Linked DNA regions of Drosophila melanogaster. The gene in region 3 interacts genetically with the main gene of each other region. Each region holds a gene or a part of one and is shown on either strand. Other genes may lie near its edges. The genes, in order: Pdf, Pdfr and wake.

Region 1 (5,336 bases), 3.8 Mb from region 3:
ATAGGATTTCCTATTTCTAGATTCAATTCATATGCATATTTTTATCCAAAAATCCTATGTAAACTACATTGTGTTGTTTGGAAATCGTGGCTACTTTTTTTTTGAGTGTGGGGGTGCGGCCGCAGTGTTGGTGGTTTCTATGAAAGTGGGTGGCCAGGTTAGGCACACATTAAACACATGATTTCACTTTTAATTGAAAATCAAAACCCCGCGGCATGACGTCAGCATCGACTGACTGTTGTTTACATTTCGAGTTGGGAGTTTTAATCAGATGCCTGGGGTAGCCAGGATCCGTGGGTTTCATCCTTACCAGCGCCACTCCTGCGTCTTCTTGATCATGATGGTGAAGATGCCCTCGAGCAGCAGCAACAGCAGTGGTCCACATAGTGCCCAGTATATGATATCACTCTTTAAAGCCACCACCTGCCAAATGGCCAGCAGGCTGTGCGCACTGAAGATGATCCTCGTGAGGATGGCCTTGATCGTCGAGATTATCTTGGCCATGGCTGCAATGACATAATCCTCTCGTGCTCGCTTCCTGCAGCTCGGATAATCAGGACCGAGGAATACCACCAAATCGACCCGAACCGACGAAGCGAACCGCACACGGCGAAAAGGTAAACGCAACTGACAGCAGAAATCGCGGGGTCCCAAATGCTTTCATTAGATGTTTAAACGCTTTTTAAGAAATTAAGGACACAGCCGCGAATGGCGCGTAATTGGTGAATGGCCACGGACCCCCGTCCCGATGTCCTGTGTGTGCGTTCAGGACGAATCATCTTCGGCTTGTCCAGGGACGAACTGCAGACCGAAAAGTAAAGATTCTTCATAGTAAGGAGAGAGTAAAAAATATGGATCTTAAATAAATTCTAGCTAATAATAACTTTCTTAATATATTTTAAAACCTTTTTTTTCCATTTTAATATATGGGAAATTAAGTTTCATTTACTTTCTATACTCTGATGTGACCAAGACGCTCCTGGAAATGTCTTCCCAACCGAAATCGAACCCATGCGTGTTTCACTTATGTGTGCCTCCAAGTCACACCACGACCATTAAATGCTTCAGCTGACTTTTAAGACGGCAAACGGTGGACGATAAACGCGGAGTCCGCGTTCCACCCACCGGATTTTGGGTCTGGCCACAAATGCAGTGCAAACAAATCGTCGGAGTGAACGACGCCGAGCCTTGGCCATCAAACTGCTGGGTAATGTGGCTGCATGGAAAGTTATAGTCATCGTAAACCTACCCCGTCGAGATATATCCGATGTTTGCCCATTGGTTGGGGGGCGGAGTTGGGTCAATGTTTTTGCCGCACGTGAAGTCATTGAACAGGCATAAATAAAGGATGATGTGCGTTGTGTGACTGGGCACAGCCATGCTAGAAGGGGCAACCTGTTGATGGGAACAAAGAAAATTTCAAATAAGGTAAGTAATTTGGCATATATTACGCATACGACATGTGCAACAACCATTGGGGAATCCTTCGCTTTTCACACGTTCTAGTACTGACCTTTCTATTATCCTTATGGTTTTAAATACTCAGATGTTTTTTTTTTTTGGAAAATTGCTTTTATTGCATGTATGGATATGACTTGATGTGGATTTTGGAACCTAGCCCTGATTGCGGCGTCGCAGCAGCCTATTGAGGCTGCGCACACTGACCCGCCTTCCGGAGCGATTCCTGGTCCTGTTCCTGGAAGTGGAACTGGCACTGGTGTCACGGTAGACGCGCACCCTGCGCTTAATCGAGTACTTGAGGTTCTTGATCCTGAACCGCTTGCGATGGACCTTCGAGGAGGAGGAGGAGGAGGAGGAGGACGCGGTGGTGGTGGTCGTGGTGGCTGCTGTCGTCGTGGTGGTGGTGTCACTGTCCGTCGTGGTCGTCGTAGTCTCCGTGGTGGTTGGCGATGAGGCGTTGGTTGCCCAAATGCATAGGCTTATCGCTAGGATTCGGAGTGCCAGTTGTCCTGTCTTCATGGTGTGCTCGGTGATGCCGTTGCTCGGATGAACTACCACTTCGGAGGCTGGGAGTTTTATATGTGACCAAGACAATTGGCGGAATTTCTCAGCAAATATTTGCATTTTGCTCTCGCCAATTACGTCCGCGCGAAATTTTTTGGCCATATTTACACAGTTTGGTGATCAAACAAAGGAACAAGCTGGAATTTCGCAAAACGGCCCAACTGCCGAGCTAGCTATTAAGTTTTATATATATTTAAGATTGGTATTTTTACGAGCTTCGTTCTAAAATTAATCACACAATTACACAGAGAGAAAACGAATTGAGCAAAATATTATTCACAAATAAGGTTCGTTTTAATGGAAGGTCAGCAATTTTGTCTGCAATCGTATATTATTTAAATCCAATAAATAAGTTGGTTTAAAGAAGTGCCTAAATTGGGTATCCTCCTTTTTTTTGAGTGCCACATGGAGTCGCCAGTGAGCTGCCTTCCCGTACAAATATCGCTGGACTTGAATGGGATTTGGTGCCTGCATGTTGGCACATAAAACACTGCATAACCAAATATTTGCGTGGCTCCAACTCGACTCCGTATTTGCCTGGGCTAAAGGACCGCCGCTGCCTGCGGATGACATGTATTGGTCCTGCGGATGACACCGATACTGACGCTCTTGGGTTGCGTGGTCGGGCGGTCTCCCGCAGTGGGTTATCCAGTCCAGGTTGCTATATAAGTCGAGGATGCGCCAACCGACGTTCATTCGCAAGTCTCCTGCTGCAGGTGTTCCGTGCTCAGTTCCTGCTCCTGGCCATCCTTCCAGCTCCTCGGACTAATGGCTCGCTACACGTACCTTGTCGCCCTTGTGCTTCTGGCCATTTGCTGCCAGTGGGGATACTGCGGCGCCATGGCCATGCCGGATGAGGAGCGCTATGTGCGCAAGGAGTACAATCGGGATCTCCTCGACTGGTTCAACAACGTGGGCGTGGGACAGTTCAGTCCCGGCCAAGTGGCCACTCTCTGTCGCTATCCGCTGATCCTCGAGAACTCCTTGGGCCCATCCGTGCCCATCAGGAAGCGCAACTCGGAGCTAATCAACTCCTTGTTGAGTCTGCCCAAGAACATGAACGATGCGGGCAAGTAAGAACGGAAAATGCTGAAGGATTAGGACGACCCACCACTGAAAGATGGAACCTGGACAAGAATTTATTATTTGATGTTATAGTATGATTTTTTGGTGCGTCGAAGGAAAATGAAAATCCGCAGATAAAAGCCGGTGTAGTCATCTAATAGAGAGAAAAGACCGTATAACTTTTGTTGCTTTAAACCTAAATAGAAAAATATACAAGTAGCCTATTGTAGAAATGTTGTATATTATTAGGCTTACTGCTGAAATAAACGTTTTCTGGATTGTTTCGACTTGAAATCTGGTACAACAACTAGTCAGGATTTTTATTCTTAATCACAGATACTAAAGCTAGTTAAAGATATTGGTTATCCCCGTAAAGGGCGAACCAATGAAAGCCAAAGGTGTTCTCAAAGTAGATTTTGTTCAATGCTACGATTGGAATAAATAGATGTTTCTAGCTTAGAATAGCAGCCCCATTTCGTTTATTGACTTCATTTATTATGCTATATCTAAGCAGTCAAAACCTAAGGAACTTGGCCATGAACTTGGCAAACAAATGCGTAGAAAGTAAACTAAATGAGAACTAAAGTATGTTCATAAAAAACACACTTATAAACAGAAAGACAAAAAGATCTGTATGTAGAAGTATAAATTGTTGTGCCCATTATTAGAAATGTGTTTTCTTTAGGTATTTTTTATTCGCCATTGTTTGGTAAGCTAAAGATCTTATTAACCAGATTTCTTGTTAACATGGATCCTGCGCACTGTCTTATAGTGGAGATTACGGATCGTAAAATGTTTCCTATGAACGGTTGTGGCCTTGGCAGTGGTGGTTGTGGTTGCCTCCGTGGTTGTGGTGTTGGTGGATGTGGTGGAATTGGTCTGGGCTGAGGAAGGCTGCAGCAGGCAGAATCCGGCGAATAGGACGAGCGCCAATAGATAAGTGCTTAGCTTCATTGTGCGGCTTTGCAAGAATCGTGAATGTATAAGACGAGGCTTTAGAGGCCTTTATATATACGAAAGTTTTCTACGCCAGACAATAACAAATATCCGCAGATGATAAGTAAATAGCGAAATACAATTGAAAATCAGCAAAAACAAATTTTGCACGCCACATTTTGCTTAACTTGTTTGCTTCCAATTCGATGTTTACCCGCCGCAGGAAAACAGTTGTAGGCGCGTTTAAATGACGGCAATATATATATTTTTCTTATAAGATATATAACTATGTTAATCAATGTTGCTGATTTATATTAAATATCGAACGATTCTCGATTCGATTTATGTGTAAGTTCATTTGGCGCTGTTTGAAATCGGTAAGTATTGTATAGAAAAAGTTATGCGTATGCATTATGTCTGATTAAGCTTGAACTATGTGTGTGTGTATTTATGCAAATGTTAATGCCATATTGAAATTACAACATTAGACAATCGAATTGTTGGCAACTACTACAAACATGATGTATACAATTCTATTCATTTTCAAATTACAAAACAATCAATTCTCGCTGGCCTTTCGGTCCGATTAATAAAACAATTGTAACATATGCGAATGTGTGTATATGTTGATGCTTCTTGCTTCGGCTCAAAATGCAGTTTCGGTAGCTTTTCACTTACATGACTATGCCTGCTATTGCATAAATACTAACTAACTGGCCGTACACTGCCTTGGCTAATCATTAACGGCTAATCTAGCATACAGTATGTGGCTGCAGCGGAGGCACATCTACCAGCACACCCGTGACTAAGTCGCATGCCCCGAAAACGCTCTGGCCACTGCTTTTGCCAAGCTGAAAGGATGCGAAAGTAAATGTTAGTTAGTTCAGTTTGCAATTGAGTGCGGAATATCTGAGATACTCACACATATGGTTATAGGTTATAAAGCTTTAGCTGCTTCCACAGCTTTTTATTGATTTATATTTTTGGAAACGCACTCTGATGGCGCTGACTTTTGCTTGATAATTGCTGAAACGGACTCTTCTCCTTCACATGCCTGTTGATGCGACTGTAGCTGCTCGATCTCACATGAAAAACTCGTTGGCTGAATGGGAAAGCGGAAGTCACGTTCGCCCCGGACGATCGAATATTGTAATCTCTATGACGCGAAGTCCCCGATAAGTGGGATCGATCAGCTGCAGTCCCTTGGTGTTGTAAATGCGTTCATTTTGGGAAGCCACAAATTTGGATATCTTGCGAAGGGTCTGTGGGGGCGAAAGAGCATTAGTATGTGCAGGCAATAGAGCTGGAAG
Region 2 (9,070 bases), on a different chromosome or scaffold from region 3:
GTGTTTGTGAAATCTGTAGTCAAGTATTCAGTAAAGGTGACAAGTATTCAAAAGGTAGGCAATTAGAGTGGTCATCAGAACCAAAAGTAGGGTATCCCACAATCTTCGTGTGTTGAATACTATCCCACACACTATCTGACCCGTATTATTCATACGGGTCATACGGTATTCATTCATTCATCAAATATTCATTTGATGATCCATCAAATCATCGGATTAAGCTGCTTATGGGATGAAATTGCCAATTTAGCCATGCCAATTGGGGGATTCACGAGCGGCACGTGCCTATCCAAAAAAAAAAAATTAGGCAAACCTAATGGATCCCGAGCCCGAGTCCGATCCCAAATCCAGATGAAGAACGTAGACGATAGCCGAGTGCAGTTTAGATGTATGCATATAAAATCATGTTTATTCATTTTCCATCTAGCCTTATACACGTAATAGTTTGACATTGACGACCACTGGGGTTCTGGTTCTTAGGTTCCTCTCTTTTTAAATTCGGCTTGAATTCTTAGTTTCGAAATAGCGTGAAGCGAGTAGGAAACCAAAACTAAATGAAAACAAACACGATTCCACACACAAGATATTCCATTTAAAATGCATTGTAAGCTTAAAGCTAGGGTGATGAATATTCGACATTCGCACTGATCGCAGATCAGATGATGTGACATCGTGATTCCTTCAATCCGTTTGTTTCTGTTTGTTCCTCGTTACCATTCCATGTGCTTTGTACTCTCGTTATATGTGGTATACATACATATCTATGTACATATGTATATACTCGTATTATATGTACGAACTACTCTCCGACATTTTTCTGCTGCTTGCATCCGTGTAAATAACAGGTATGTAAATATGTATGCTTTATCTATGCTCTTGTAAATACCGTTACATCTATGTATGTATATTGAGCTTATTTAGAAAAAAAAAGATTAACAGTTACATTCATCAGCGCACTTCTTACACATGTGCAAAAAAAACTGTGGCCCAACTGCTGTTGGTAAATATACAAAAATATAGGATATATGTATGTATGCGTGTGTGTGTGTCGTGTATCGATCGATATCCGACTTATCGAACTCGCTTCTTGCAAAGAGAGCATACTTCGCGGCATTTTAGTTTTAGTTTAAGAACAGTTGCGCCTGCGGATGGGCGTGAATATTGTGTTTCGGTGTGTGTTGTTCTGAGTGTTGCTGGTGTGAGCGGTAAAGAGAGCGAGATGCACTAGGCTTTCGGCATTTGTATTTGATGGCTCTTTGAAATCGCTTTGGCTTTCGCCTTTGACTTTGTCATCGTCGCGATGGTTGCAATGGATGCTATTGTTGTTTTGGCTGCCGTTGTTGTTGTTGATGTTGTGGTAATTGTTGTTGCTACCGCTGCAAGCGTCGACGTCGGCGGCATTTGCGACGTCATGAATATTTGCTGCGTCTTTTGCGAGCCCGGCATCACACATTTGTCCTGCGAACGAAAGGCGAGAAAGAAGAAAAAGAAAACGAAAACGAGAAGAGTCCGCCAAGAGAGCCGCATTTTGAGTGGGAAACAAGGAGGAGAGAATAGCCGAAAAGATATTTATTGCATTTATGTGTCTCCGATTATGGACCCCATTAGTTAAATATCGATTGTGGCAAAGTTTTTGTTGCACAACAAAGCGCAGCTAGCAAAATTCAAGGCAGTTGCAGTGAACGTGATCGATTGTAGCTGGCAGTGTGACCAGCTCAGGAACGGAAAGTGTAAGCTAATCAAAGTGGTAAAGAAAATGTAAATACAAGTAAACCCAAATCTTAAAACTTAATAACGGAATCCGATGAACAGCAAGTTCAACAGTTGATTAAAGGTGAGTTCCTTTAAACAATGTCACTTTTCAATTATGTTATGTAATAAGTTCTAATGGCTCACAAAGCCTGGCCACACTGCGCAGTTACCGCAAGTTTGTGTTAATTCACTTAAATATTTCAATCTAATATTTAAATATGAATAGTAGAAGTAAAAGAACATGCCGCTGAAGTTTTGCTGAAAAATTCATCGAGTAAGAACCGTGTGCGAGTGTTTTTGAATGTATTTGCGTGTCCAGAACAGAAGGTGACGCTATTGGAAATTTATTGTCATCAAAAATATTTTGTAAAACTTGTAGGGAAATTTGAATTTTCGTAGGATTAGCCGATTTCGAAAGGATAGGAGATTTCTAGATTTTGGAAAGGGTTTGGATATGGCTTACACAAATAAAGGTATGTATGTATTTACATAAGTACAGTGGAGCAAGAACCGAAGGCAAGCGAAAATAACTATTTAAATTAAATGTCTATTGGTTTAATTTGAATTACAAAACAATGAGCTTACTTTCTGTTCAAAATGATCTTGGGTATAAGAACTGCGATATTTTGTTGGGGTATTTTACATATGTGCTGTTTCCAGCTGGCTTGCTTGGTGGGTCGATGGGAGATGCAGGAATAGTCGGGTTCTGGGTTATCTTTGGGATCATTTCCGGTCCGATTGTGTGGGTGCTGGCTACTGTGGTGGTGGGCTACATGGCGTTGGCTACTTCTACGGCTATTTGGCTACGGCTATGGCTACATCTATTAGTTAGGCTAGGTTTTGGTCTACTGCTCTGACAACTCAAATACAACTGACTCGGGTGGCACGGATGACGCTGACGGTACTCTTAGTACCTTTTGACCCCGGAAGCAGATGCCCATTATCCACTTGGAGCCGCGAGTTCGCGATCTCGCGCTGCCCGCCTCCTTGCTGTGAATGTGGGAGATGGTCGGATCCGGCTCCGCTTCCGCATCCGTCTTCTCCACCCGGTCCTTGCCCTTTTCCCGCGCCTTGTTTTGCAGCCGGGGCATCAGTCGCTGGCGCTGTTGAGGCTCGTGAATCATCACAATGCTGGCACTGCTCGGCTTTCTTCCATTCAGCCTTTTATTCGGCGGTGATATTCTGGGAGTTTTAAATTGATGTAAGGAGTTTCAAGGTGGGGTGTGCACAAAGCGGATGCTTACCGCTTTCCAGTGGCCGATGGATCTCCTGCAGGCTGCACTGCATCCGTATCCGGCGCCGTGTTATAAGCACCCGAGTACATAGATGCCCTTTTCGGCGCCCATTCCGGATGACCTCGCACCGACAGCTGGGTGGCCAGACTCTTTAGTAGCACGGCACGAACCTAAAAAATATATATTTTGGTTGGAAATAGTGAGGGTTTTAGGCAAATGGACAACTGAGTGACTTGATGTCTTACCTCGCCATTTAGAAAGCAGTAAATTAGCGCTATAAAAAATCCCTGAAACGAGGTGAGAAAGTGGGTGCCATACGACCAGACCGCGAAGTTCGTGGCCGTTTTCAGAGGAGCCAGCTGGTGCAGGAGATTGGTTATACCCAAAAGTGGTAGTAGGACTATAGCCGCTCTAACTGCCTTGCGAGTCTGTTCTATATCGCTGGCCTGCGATTGACGCAGCTTCATTACCAGCACTCGGATAATGTTCACCAGGAAACAGAAGTTTAGCTGCATGCGGATGTTTTCAGTTGGGTGAATAGGTGATTAAAGCGATCAACAGTTGATATTACCCACCAGTATGACCGCTAGTCGTGGCCCCTCGAGGATCCAGTAGTAGGGCGTGAGATTATAGTTCCACAAGCATTCGCCCAGCGAGGTGTCCATATACATGACCGTGCATCTCGCCCACACGGTGGTCATCAGAATGGGCACACACCAGCCGAGTCGCGAGAAGAACTTGAGGGGAAAGCTGCCCTGGAAAACGGCCACGGTGACCATGTTGTGCAGGTAAAGGCCCTCGATGAACATCCACATGAACATGGCGGTACGAGCGTACTCCAGAAGTACATAGGATGCTTCGCACAAATAGGGCTGTAGAACATAACATATAATATCGAACATAAGCCTTATACCTTATCCTTATGCGGGAATATTAAGCCTACCGTGTTCTCAATGACAGAGAGACTCGTGTTGGTGGCCGCCTCCTTGTTTCCCCGCCGGAATTGGTCGAGATACAAGGTCAGGCGAATGATCACCTGCAGCACCATGGCGACGAAAAGATTCTTGTGGATCTTGGTGCGATTGTTTCGCAGCGAGCGAAATGTGCAGAAGATCAGCAGGGAAACTATAAGGGCGAACAGGGAGAGGCAGAGGCCCACGATCTCCAGGGTTCGAGTCCTCCTGGCAATGTCTATGTAGGCCTAAGGGATATCGCAAACCAGTTGGAAGAAATGGAATTAAAACTACTACTATAAACCACTATCAACAAATGTAATCAGGCCTTTGAAATCACTTTTTAGGGTGTCTAAAAAACTTGGAACCCTATTAGGTAATTTCAAAACCATACCCTTGATTTGGGATTTTGGTTGGCATTTAAGCAATGCTCTTAACTATAACTGAAACAGGTATTATGATGTAGTGTGGAAAGAATTCAACTCACATCGAAGTCCTTGCTGCCCATCTGCTGCATGAGACGGATAATCTCCGGCTTGTAACACGGCCCGTAGTCCGTCCATCCCGGCGGATTCACCTCCGTGGCATTTGGCCTGCTGCCCCATCGACCATCCAGCTCACACTTTCGGATGGCGAATTCTGCGAACCGAAAAAGAGGGAGGTTGGGTTGGATTAATGACAGTAATCGAGCTTTGACACACTGACTGACAAGTGCAATTATGCCAATCGAATGGGCGACCGACCTCGTCCAGTTGAAAATATTGGGGCTAAAAATCTAGACACGGCCCGGAGAAATGAGGCCGTAGCTCAACAATGCACTCGAATAATTATTTCTTAACAGATATAGTTCGATATGCCTAGATTTTGCACCACAAGCGCAGATAATACATTCACTAGTGATAATGGAAGAGCATTTTAAGTTTGTAAAATATTGGGTGGTAAGTCAGCTACTTAGAATCTTTTCGCTCAGTGTATATCGCCCATGGTTATTAAATAGCAATTCCCCATTGCAGAACGTTTAATTTATCGGAGGGGTAGAGCAAGCATTTAGGATCGTAATTAAGCAATCGATTGGCTGGTGTTTTAAACCCTGTTCAACTGGCGGAGCTCGAGGGTGCACATGAAACACCTGGACAGCCCCCGGCGATGGAAGCCAAGGAGGGGCGGCCCCGACTGGGAGTGCGGTTGATTGGACGCCCCCAGTCATGCATGTAAATATTGACATCCTTTCGATGAATACGGAATCAAGTAATTGTTTGCCGTGCACCACTTGAACCGTTTCCCAGCTAATGATCCGTATGATTGTGACCGCCAGATATGCCGTGTGGATGGGATAAACACCGTAGGACATGTCTTTTGACTCCTAATAAGCCGGCAGAAGTCATAAAGCTTCTTGTGGCTGCTAAACAGCTAAACAGCTTCAACGATTAATTATGCTAATTGTACTCAGCATGTTCTTTTTCGGCTGCTTTTTTTTTAGAGTGTATTTCAGTTACTTACTGCGCGTATCTACGCCATGAAAGCCGCCAGGACAATTCATCCGTGCAAGGACTCCAGCCGGAGTGGGTGGCCAGCAGAGCAATGTGTCCCAGGTCCAATTGCAGTAGAGTCCTATCCCGGCAACAAAAAAAAAAAAAAAAATACTGCAATATGATTTAAAAGTTATTAGGCTTTAGGTACCTGTTTGTGGTAGGGTGTAATTGACAAAAAGCGCCGAGCAGTTCTCGAAATTGGTGGCCGCTGCCGACGCAAGCGTTAGATTCCAGGGCGCGCTGCTGTTGAGATTACCGAGAACCTGTTCCGTGTCCGAATCGGGCAGTGCGTCCATGACGGTGGGCTCCAGGGCCAATTGGGCCACCCTGGCGACACCGTCGAGGACATACGTTCCCGGCGATTCCGTTGTCGAGGCATCGAAATCGTGCAGTAGTGGCACGCGTCCGGTCGCCAGGCTGTGCGAGGATGTTGGCTCCAGCATGGATTTTGATTCAAATGTTCCGGCCGTCGGTGCAGATGGGGATGGTCCTGATGAGCCGGACTGGCGCAGCAGGCGGGTGAAGCGCTGGGCGGAAATACAGCCTCCGCAGTCGAGAATGTTCGACAGGAGGGTCATTTTGCCATCGACCGCATAGTAAATGTGCTGCAAAGCGAACAATGAACATCGTTGTTATTTACGCACCAGCATTATATCGAGTTATATCGTTCTAAAAAAAAAAAAAAAACAATCCCAAACCCATCAAACTTTGTACGAGTTAAACCCAACCAACCAATGAGTCTGCATGGCGAACACGACCTCCAGAACACGGAGCTTTGTCTTTCGATATTAGCATTGGACCCATGGACATGCATGCATTGGCTGCAATTGAAAATTGATCTCTTTCCATTTCGATTTCGATTTCCGCTTCCGTTTTCGTTTTCGTTTCCGATTTCCGATTTCCCGCACCCATGCGCCCCGTTATCCGGGTCAGATTTAATTGAAAGCTTATCGCACAATGAGACGTACGTCGACCGGTGCCTTTGTTTACCGGATCTTATTCTCGTTGGCAGAGTGCCCGTCGTTAACGCAGTTTATGATTGCCCCTAATAAATACCCGGCTTATTTATAGTCCCGCTGCACCGGAGTGCAAACATCACGCCCACACGCTACGACGCCATATGTATGCACATACATACAATACACATATCATTGGCATTCGCATTCGCATTCGCACTCGTATCACCCACATCGCACCGATTGTCGGGATTATGCCTGGCGAAATGGCAAATGGCCAGGAGCACCACATGCACGCAGAAAAGAAAACAAGTGAGTTGTTTACACATTTCAAATATTTTTGAATTGGGCATTGAATTGCATGGCATTGCAACGATCGCCACATACCAATTTCTTTCTGTGCAGCAGGAAGAGGAACTACGGGCTATGTGATGAATTGTAATTGCAACAACAGTTGCACTAACCCTTTTCCAATTTACGTGTCGGCTCTTTTCGGAGAAGTGTAATCTCTGCACAAGGAACAGATTAAAAATGAGCAGCTAAAACTTTGTATGAAGAACTCAAGGTCCTGCAAACAACTGATGATACGATCGTGCAGACTCGAAAATGTAATGCTTTTATCATTGCACAAATGAGATGGAGTAATTCCCAATGAAAAACAACAGCTTGTTTATCATTTAGTGGCACGTTTTGTGAAAAACAAGATTTCATATTTTAATGACGGCATCACATATTTTCCTCTGCGCAATTTATGGCCAAGGCTAAACGGAATGTAAATTACTTCAATGACAATCGCACACGACAAATTATGATTTCTTCCTGTCTTGGTTGCGTTGCAGCAGCAGCAGCAGCAGCAGCAAATGGCGGCGGAATGGCACAGGAAACACGTTGCCATTCGCTTTTTTTTGCCTCAACTTTTATTTCTTTTTCTTTTTTTGGTTTTTTCACTTCCGGAATTGCGTAAACAAGCCATGCGGAGGACGGTCGTCCAAAGTGGCCAAAGTTGCACATTTTGCTCATGTTGCCCATGTTGCTTGTGTTGCTTGTGTTGCTTGTGTTGCTAAGCTGCCCCAAAAATGCCTTTGAGTGCATTTTATATAATTTCATAAGAATTTCAATTTCGCCAGTAGTCGCTGCACACGAATGCATGCATGCAGGCTATGCTCCACCCACACGCTCACCCACCTCCCTCCCCCCCCTCAGCTATCCATCTCTGCATTTCCGCATTTCCGCATCCCTGGGGGCATTCCACTGGCTTTGTACTGCTCAATATGTATTTTGGTTGCATAAGCGCCAGCGTCAGACGAAGTGCAGCATTAGCAAAAACTTTGCGACTAAGCACTCCCACAGCGCAAAAAATCAACGATATATACGGTATATGTATATATATATATATATTTAAAATATATAATTAAGTAATTAAGATATTAAGCCTTTCGGGAGCCTTGAATTCGCTGCTTATTTACCAATCGATGCTTATCGCCGCAGCGAACCGATTCTCAGCTCGCGCTCGTAATTAAGCTAACTAAGCGCAAAATCCCCTCCAAAGCGACTGAAAAGCCAGTGGCGGGGCCAGGGATTGGAAACGGTTTGGTTTGGCTTGGCTTGGCTTGGCTTGGATTGGATTGGATAACCAACTGGATGGATGCTGGATGCCGCGATTCGGCATCTCCAAGCAGACAACAGACCCTGATTTGGGTCACTTGGCAGCAGTTGCAGCGTGCGGGTTATGGGGTTGAGGGATTAAGGGACCCCTTTAAATACTTGTGCAATTTAAAGTTAGCACCAGTCAGAAACAGAAAGTAACTAAAATTTAATTACATTGAGGAAAGTGGTTTGTTCAACTGCAATTTGTTTGTGTGTAAAGTGTGTACAGAGTAGAGCTTACAAATATTATTGGTAGTTGGTAGTTGGCAATCGAGAAGAGGCTTGTTAATCAAAATGTTCTTGCATATTACATAAGCACATTTTTATATTTATTACGCCCTTGGCATATATTTTTTTTTTTGACTTGAGCAATCCATTTTCAGGCCGATAATTGAACGAGCTCTGGACTCGATTGTTTACAATTTGGAAACCCAAACATGCTGGGCCGTTTGAATAATTAATCAACTTTCTTATTGAACACTCAGCAATTCAATTATTTAACACGCATTGCAATGCCCCAAATAGCTTGTCAATTCCACTTGATGGGTGGATACTCATAGTGGATAGTGACAGGCAATCAGGATTTATGTGAACTTAAATTCGTTAGTGGACGGAGCTTTAAATGTGCAATAAGTGCAATCAGCAATCAACAAGATTATAAAGTAATTTCAGCTGACGTCGCTCGACTTGAAAATTGGGTTGATTGAGCCCCAAATAATGGGCGTGCCCCTTTTGCCGATCGATTGTTTTAACATTTTCATCGGCCCAAGTGCAGTCGAAGTTTTTTGTTTTTTGTTTTTTTTTTTTTCAAATTTTCAAGACTTGGTGTTTTTCTTTTTCGGTAGGCCGGGAAAAATCGCAAAGCCCGGGGAAATTCATCTGCAGGCGTTGAAGCGTGTTTTTTTCCCCGTATATTTCTTTGCCATAATTATGGGGAAAATGAAAGAAAATGAATCTCAAGAGCCGCCATTCAGAGAGACGAAATGCATTGAATG
Region 3 (6,777 bases):
CCCCAAATCAGGTTCACTGTTCGTAGCTTCTAAAAGGCAGTGGGAGGACGAGGAAGCGGACATGCTGGTCCGATCCTTGTGCGATTTGTGCAGATTCTGCAGGCTGGCCCACGTGTCCATGGTCTGATCCATACATGCACCACTGACCGACGACTGCACACTGTCGATGGCTTCGAAGCCCAGCGAATGACGCGAGCCAGGTTGACCAAATACCTGGGCACTCAGCTTGTGTGGCGTTGTTGGCGTCTCCAGAGCCAACGATCTGCGCATCTTGCGGGGCACACACGCTGGATGGGCAAACGTGTGGCCCTCATCGAGCGATGGAGCAGCCGAGTGCAGCGAAATGTCATCCATAGAGGCCACGGCAGCCAAAGTGCGCGGTGAATCGTCGACAAAAAGATTAAGGACATCATCACAGGAGCGGGTGGATGTGAGATTCGTGGCGGGACTTTGGATCAGATTGAAGCTGGCCAGGAGATTGGGTCGACGAAGCGAAGAGCTCGCTGGCGGCGATCTTAGCAGGGCGGAATGATCGGGCATGGCCCGCACAGTCAGTCGATTATCCGGTATTCCCACTATGCCCAGTGGACGAGCAGGAGCTGGATAAGTTGGTGGTCCTGCATGTGCCGCCGCCGCTGCTCCCGCTCCTGCAGCTAGGAAGTCCACAACCAGAATGCGATCCGAAATATTCGTACAATCGTTGTTGAAGCCAATGCCCGAATCCGAATTGGACGTGGTGGTGGAGATCTCGCTGTGGTTCGATGGCTGCGGCGAGTGGGCAGCTGCTACTGCTCCTCCAGCTGCGGCGGCTCCTGCACCCGCCTCATAGTCTGCCTGATGACTCCGACTTGCCGGTGGGAGAATCCGCATGGTATACATGCTGCGCACGAGATTCACCACATATTCCGAGTTGTTAGGGAACTCGAGACACAAATTCGAGATCGGATCCCGGGTGCACTGCAGGCGGAACTCGTGGGCCCGCTGCAAATGCTGTGCATGTTCGATCAGCTTGGTGTCGATGACGAAGACATGGCAGCTGTGCGAGATACTGATGTGACCAGCAGCTGCTGCGCTGCCAGCGCTCGGCTCGTACTCCTCCTCGATCTGTGTGTTGTGCACGGCGCTAGTGACCAGACCAAAGAATCGATTCTCGCTCTCCGACGAAGAGCTCACGAAGTTCAGCCTGGCCGAGGAGTAGGTGGCCAGCACTCCGCCGCTGGAACTCTGCAGGCTCAAGCTGTCCGGCGTGATGCACATCAGCACAATGGTGGGCTGTCGCTTCTCCTGTCTCAGTTTTCGAATGCAAGATCGAACTGTCTGCAGCTTGGAACTATGCGAGATCTGCTTGGGCATCTCGATGGTTCCCAGATAGCCAACAATAACACGGCACTCCAGTGCAGCACTGCCCACAGCTCGCACCATGGCACTTACATTGGCCACATCCGCTGCTTTGGATAGATTGGCTGTCAGAGGCGGATCCTCCAGAACGGGTTTTAATGTAGGGTGATCGGGTGATGACTTTGATTTGTGCGGTTCCACTGCCTCTGGTGGGTTTAGCTTCTTTTGTGGCGAGTTGCGCAATCTGTGCAGTTTGGCTTTGTGGTGTAGAAACCTGGGCTTGTGCCTCAAACTGGCTGCCAACAATTGACCCCTCAGCGTGGCATGGGCGTTCTCCTCATCCGAGCTGTCGGAATAATAATTCTCGGCGATCTGCATGCGAATACTGCCAAAGGAGTTGCCAATGAGCTGCACCACTGTTTCGTGTGGCAACTTGGAGACATTTAGACCGTTGACCGATATGAGGAAGTCACCGGAACGCAGGCCAGCTTGCTCGGCAGGTGAGCTGCTGATGATGCAAGACAGCCGACATGGTTGCTGCCCGGAAATGGTGAAACCGAAGCCATTGTAACCACGTCGCACTTCCACGGTGCGGATGCCATTGTAGTTGTAGTTGGCTCGCTTCTTGCGACGTCGCTGATGCTGCTGGCTGTTGGATCCCGAAGGCGTGGTTGAGGTGCTTATGGGGGCGGGCCCACTATTCGCAGCAGGTGATGCATCCTCCGCTGCAGCTGCTCCCGTTCCCACGGCTGTGGAGCCACTTGCTCCGGTTATGGGCAAAGGCGGATGATGGTGGTGCATGGCGCTTACTGTGTGGAGAAAACGAATGATGAGGAGTACTGGCCAATCTTAACCCACATCTGGACATTTGTACGCACCTTTCTCATGGATGGAAGCTGCAACCTGGATTTCTGGAAATGGAATGCGGTTTCTGTTGCGCCCCTTTTTGGATGATGCCCCCTCTCGCTCGCACCCGTGCGTCGCCTATGCCAACTATGTAATCAATGGCACACACACATGCGCACCAATGGCCAGGCGTATTTTGTTACACTTTTCTAGGCCTCTAATTAATTGATAACTAACTCTTCTTTGGGTGCTACCTCATATTCACGCGGTTAATAACATCGTTGTAACTTTATCAGGCATATTTGTAGCAATTAATTGTGTGTAAATCGGTAATTAAAATTATGTCTACAATGCGCAAGCGTAACTATGATTAGAGATGGAACACACTAAAATGTTTACTCGATACTATCGATATTACATACCTTTTGTGAAACATCGATCACTTTGACACACCATATTTTTAGTAATTACTGTTAAAGTTTTGCAGAATGTCAACAATTTTTAACAAGCAGTTCTAGAGAAAATTTGATTTGTTCAAATATTGAAGGCATTGACCATTGATAGAAAAACGATATTTACAAATTTGAATTAGATAAAAACAGGGCTGCCAGACTCATTGAAATTTATGAAGCAATCGTTGCCACACTGGGCTGACCTTCGTTGCATAGCAACGAACTTTTGTCACATCCCACTGCCGTCAGTTACTTTTCGATTTAAATAAAAGCTCCGAACGCTCGTCCTTTAAAGTCCTTCCGGTGAGCTTACATCTGCGTAGCGTGTTATTTGTGTTTGGCCCACGCCGTTTCAGTTACATTGGGACTTTCAAACGCATTGGTTGAACGCGCGCACCCAGAACCGCTGTTGAATTAGTTTTTGAACCCGAAAACAGCAGTTAAATTGCTCGAGTGAAATGTAAAATGTTATTGGTAAACGGATCGAAGTGTTCGAAGTTCTAACGCTGAAATGTTTAAGGATTATCCGTAGCAAGACCTGCAGAAGTGACCCCAGTCAGCCAGTGTTGAACCAATTGAAATGTTGGCAAGGACATTACGGACAAAGAATAGAAAGCCAATAGAAAGCAATGGGGGTGGGATGTTGCGGAAACGGAAGTGCCAAATTGAAATGCCATTTAAGCCAGGCGAGCGATTTGCCCGTCTTCGTTTACGGCTCATCCGGATTCGTCTGCGTCTGGTCAGGGCACTCAGATTTCTTGCGGGGAATGGATTCGAGAGCGCGGCAAGTGCGATCCCCAGACGACACTTGGCGTCGCTCTTGACATTGATTATATTCATGAGACCAAGTCATAAATTCCAGCCCGACTGTTTACGAGGATTCTAACACCAATCCGCTGTCCCCGATTCCCGGTCTCTGCCCAAAGATGTGGCCAAGTTGCGACTGGAGTGCCAATAAAATCATTAACTGTTGCAGCGCATTAAATTCATGGCCCAGACGATGCTGCCGCGCTATTCAGGCAGCAAACATTGTCATAAAACCTCGGCCCATTCACGCCATATTTCATTTCATCTCCTCATCTCCATCTACCTCACATCCATCTACCTCACATCCTAATTGCCGAAGGTCCTGAGTCCCGTGGGCGTGTGAAAAACTATTAAAAGGCCGTTGGGCCGTGCATCGTGGGCCCATAATTAATGGCGACAATGACTTGATCGGCCGATAATTAATTTATCGTCATTTATATTGCCAAACTGACTCGACGCGCACATACTATATATGTGCTATATACATGGTTACCAAAACGGTTGGCGATCCCATGGGAGCTCGTAAATTGTCCAGAAGTCTAGTTCCTACTTCACTTTAATTTCTTGGCTAGCGAAAGTTTTCTTTTCAACTAAGCCCAAGTAAGTTTCAGTTGGTTCTATTGTATTATTTTGGCACATGCTTCATTCCTGCTCGCCTCTCACATAGTTTTGGCCACAAATTAGTTTGGCAGTGGATTTTGTTAGCCACTAGGAGATGCCGAGCATTTTGCATTCCCATACCAACCGACTTTTCGCCTGTTTTGTCCAACTATTTTGCTGCTGAAAGTTGGCAGGAAAAGTTTCTCAATTGCGACGAAGAAATCAATTGGAAATGATTGAAACCTAATTTCCCAAATGGACTGAATACATAAATCAATAAATTATGTCCCCTCGAAGATGGGAATCGACGGAAGCACCTCAGTCATTACCGAAAGTTTAATGTATTTAAGGGTTAATAATATCGATCGAACTGATTTTTGATTGATGAATGTCCTGTGAATTTATTAATGTCACCATTGTTTGCTAAGTGTTTTGTTATTTGATTATAATTGGGGCTCATGAAAGCATTTCATTGGATCGTATATTAAAGAATATTATTAATATACAGTAATAAAATGGAAAACTTTGATTGAATTTTTTCCATATATGTACAAAAGTGTCAAAGTTCACTGCTCGCATTCATGTTTGTGTGTGCTCAAATGGTAAATCTGACCAATGTCATCAATATTTCAACAAAAAAGTAAATATTTTCGCTTCACTGAATCGCAGTGAACCGTAAAGAGCAGTAAAACTATGCTGATAGCAAGCTTTGTGTCTATGACATCCAGCTGCACCTGATGAAAATCCGCCATTCTATCCGCTTAGGGATTTAATTCGTAAACGTCTCACTGGAAAATTAATAGGAAAATACGCAATTTTCACTGGAATGCCAACTTTCACCCCTGACATCTTAGAATATACTCTTTTTTTTTTTTGTGGCATTATCATACCCACACTTTTTGTGGGTCCTAAGTCGCCGTCCTTGTCGCGATTTCGGAAATTGTTTTTACCCACATTTCATTTGTTTCCCAAACTTTCTGCATTGCGCGAGCGCCAAAAAAGCAAAAAATTGACACAATTTAAACTTTTCTATAAACAAAAGCAATGCAGGGCAGCCAAACAGAAAAGGTTAGCCAAACGAGCCATTTGTTCGCGCTGCTGTTTACTTCCTTTTTGCCCCAAATTTTTCCCCTTTTTAGCTGTCGTGGTTATTTTTTCGTATACTCCAGTTTATTACAGAACTCACAGAAATTAATGCTGCTGGGGTTTCTGGAGGGGTTTTTTTTTTTTTTTTGGCTTTTGTTCAAATTTGTCAAAAGGAAAAGGCTGACCGAAAACGTTTGCTTCGTCCTTTATTTTTCCGCTTTTGGTTTCTCAATTTCGTTTAAATTGCGCACATTTGAAACAATTTGCCAACAGCAAGCGCCCACACATGCATTTTTTTTTTTTAACAGCAGAATGCATTCTGCGGCTTGGCAGAGATTTATGCAGGCATTTCATAAAGCTGACAACATGGCGTATGATTAATATCGCTGCCTGTTCCCTGAATTGCTATTATGCTGCATTTAATTAAATCTGCAAGCGATGATTAAGTGCTTAATTTTACAGGCAAGAACCAAGTACTTACAAATACTTACCTATACATATATATACATATATATATATATAACATTGCTATTTCTGGGCGCCCGGCTTCTTGACAACTAAGATTAATTGGTATTGCCACTAAAAATATAAACAAGGAGTTCTGATATTATACCAAGTGCCGGACAAGGACGTTGTTGTATATACTATATGTGGCATGCTCTCAATAAATTTAAGCATTTCATGACAATGACGTTGCAGGCGATGCGTTCCGAGAATTCCGACTATACGTGTGCATATTGCATATGGCTGTGTTTGGCCTGGCTGACATTTCTTGGCCTTTTTTGCCCTGGCATATGTGCGAAAATGCCAACGTTCATTGCAATGCAATTAATGAAGATTGCTGCAGCTGACGCGCACTTTGCATGAATACAATGTGATGTATGTAAAAATGCCTTTGGCTTATTTTTGGCAATCTAATTTGCAATTTCAGTTTCATTTAGCAGTCAGACTAAATTCTAGCAAAATGATGTTCAAAGAATTGTGTTCTAAATTGTAGAATATTGCCTATATTTTCGTAACCAACCAATTTTTGGTTAACAACAAAAATGAAAACAATGTAAGCTTCTAAAAATATTATTTATTTAGTCACTATATTTGCTTTTTATTGCTTTTTATTGCTTTTCTCTTAGCATTTCATAACGACCGGCCTTCGTTTTAATTGATACAAACGCTTTATTTACATTCCCTGCTTTTTTTTTTTGCTTGCTCTTCATTTCACTTTCAATTTATATTCATAGGCCAATGCTGGGTTCTTTTATTTATTTCTGGTTTTTATGCAATATGAATTGCGTACGGCAATTAGAATGACATTTTGCTGTGCCTTTGTTTTGTTGCGGTTCGCTTTTAATTACACGCTCTCTCTCTCGTTGATACTTTTAATTAAGGCTGCTAATTAAAGATGACAGCTAAGTGAAAAGGTAGTGAAATTCTCGCAATTTCCGGCTTAGATATTAGCAATTTCAAGCAGCGCGGAATCGAAGGTGGCACATTTCGCTGGACCTTTATCCCCCGCCAAACCATTAGTATGATATCCTTGGGGCTTATCGCAGTTCTTATTACCAATTCGGTTGCTCTGTCTGCTCCACTTTTGTGCTTGATTAATGCCCGGGATGTGCATTGGATTGCGCCCGGGATCTGCGGCGCGGCG

The links.
Region 1: of wake (region 3) and Pdf, changing one suppresses a phenotype caused by changing the other (phenotypic suppression), as found in Drosophila melanogaster (one study listed by BioGRID).
Region 2: of wake (region 3) and Pdfr, changing one suppresses a phenotype caused by changing the other (phenotypic suppression), as found in Drosophila melanogaster (one study listed by BioGRID).

What each region holds. Positions count from the first base shown.
Region 1 is NT_033777.3:26,453,521-26,458,856, reverse strand, and holds Pdf (Pigment-dispersing factor), read left to right. Parts: upstream 1-2,715; 5' UTR 2,716-2,793; coding exon 2,794-3,102; 3' UTR 3,103-3,395; downstream 3,396-5,336. Other genes in the region: CG14238 (uncharacterized protein), read right to left, coding at 311-504; CG14237 (uncharacterized protein), read right to left, coding at 1,615-1,980; CG43117 (uncharacterized protein), read right to left, coding at 3,817-4,044; CG5447 (uncharacterized protein), read right to left, coding at 5,148-5,288. UniProt on the Drosophila melanogaster protein: Neuropeptide PDF is the main transmitter regulating circadian locomotor rhythms. Required to maintain behavioral rhythms under constant conditions by coordinating pacemaker interactions in the circadian system.
Region 2 is NC_004354.4:2,569,981-2,579,050, reverse strand, and holds Pdfr (Pigment-dispersing factor receptor), read right to left. Parts: upstream 6,846-9,070; 5' UTR 6,385-6,845; coding exon 6,205-6,384; intron 6,078-6,204; coding exon 5,621-6,077; intron 5,552-5,620; coding exon 5,441-5,551; intron 4,580-5,440; coding exon 4,428-4,579; intron 4,189-4,427; coding exon 3,931-4,188; intron 3,860-3,930; coding exon 3,563-3,859; intron 3,497-3,562; coding exon 3,233-3,496; intron 3,158-3,232; coding exon 2,997-3,157; intron 2,935-2,996; coding exon 2,598-2,934; 3' UTR 2,046-2,597; downstream 1-2,045. UniProt on the Drosophila melanogaster protein: Receptor for PDF, a neuropeptide controlling circadian behavioral rhythms. Probably regulates circadian behavioral rhythms through coordination of activities of clock neurons. PDF-binding results in the elevation of cAMP synthesis.
Region 3 is NT_033777.3:22,636,801-22,643,577, forward strand, and holds the start of wake (wide awake), read left to right. Parts: upstream 1-3,007; 5' UTR 3,008-3,110; intron 3,111-6,777. Other genes in the region: loco (locomotion defects), read right to left, coding at 1-2,139.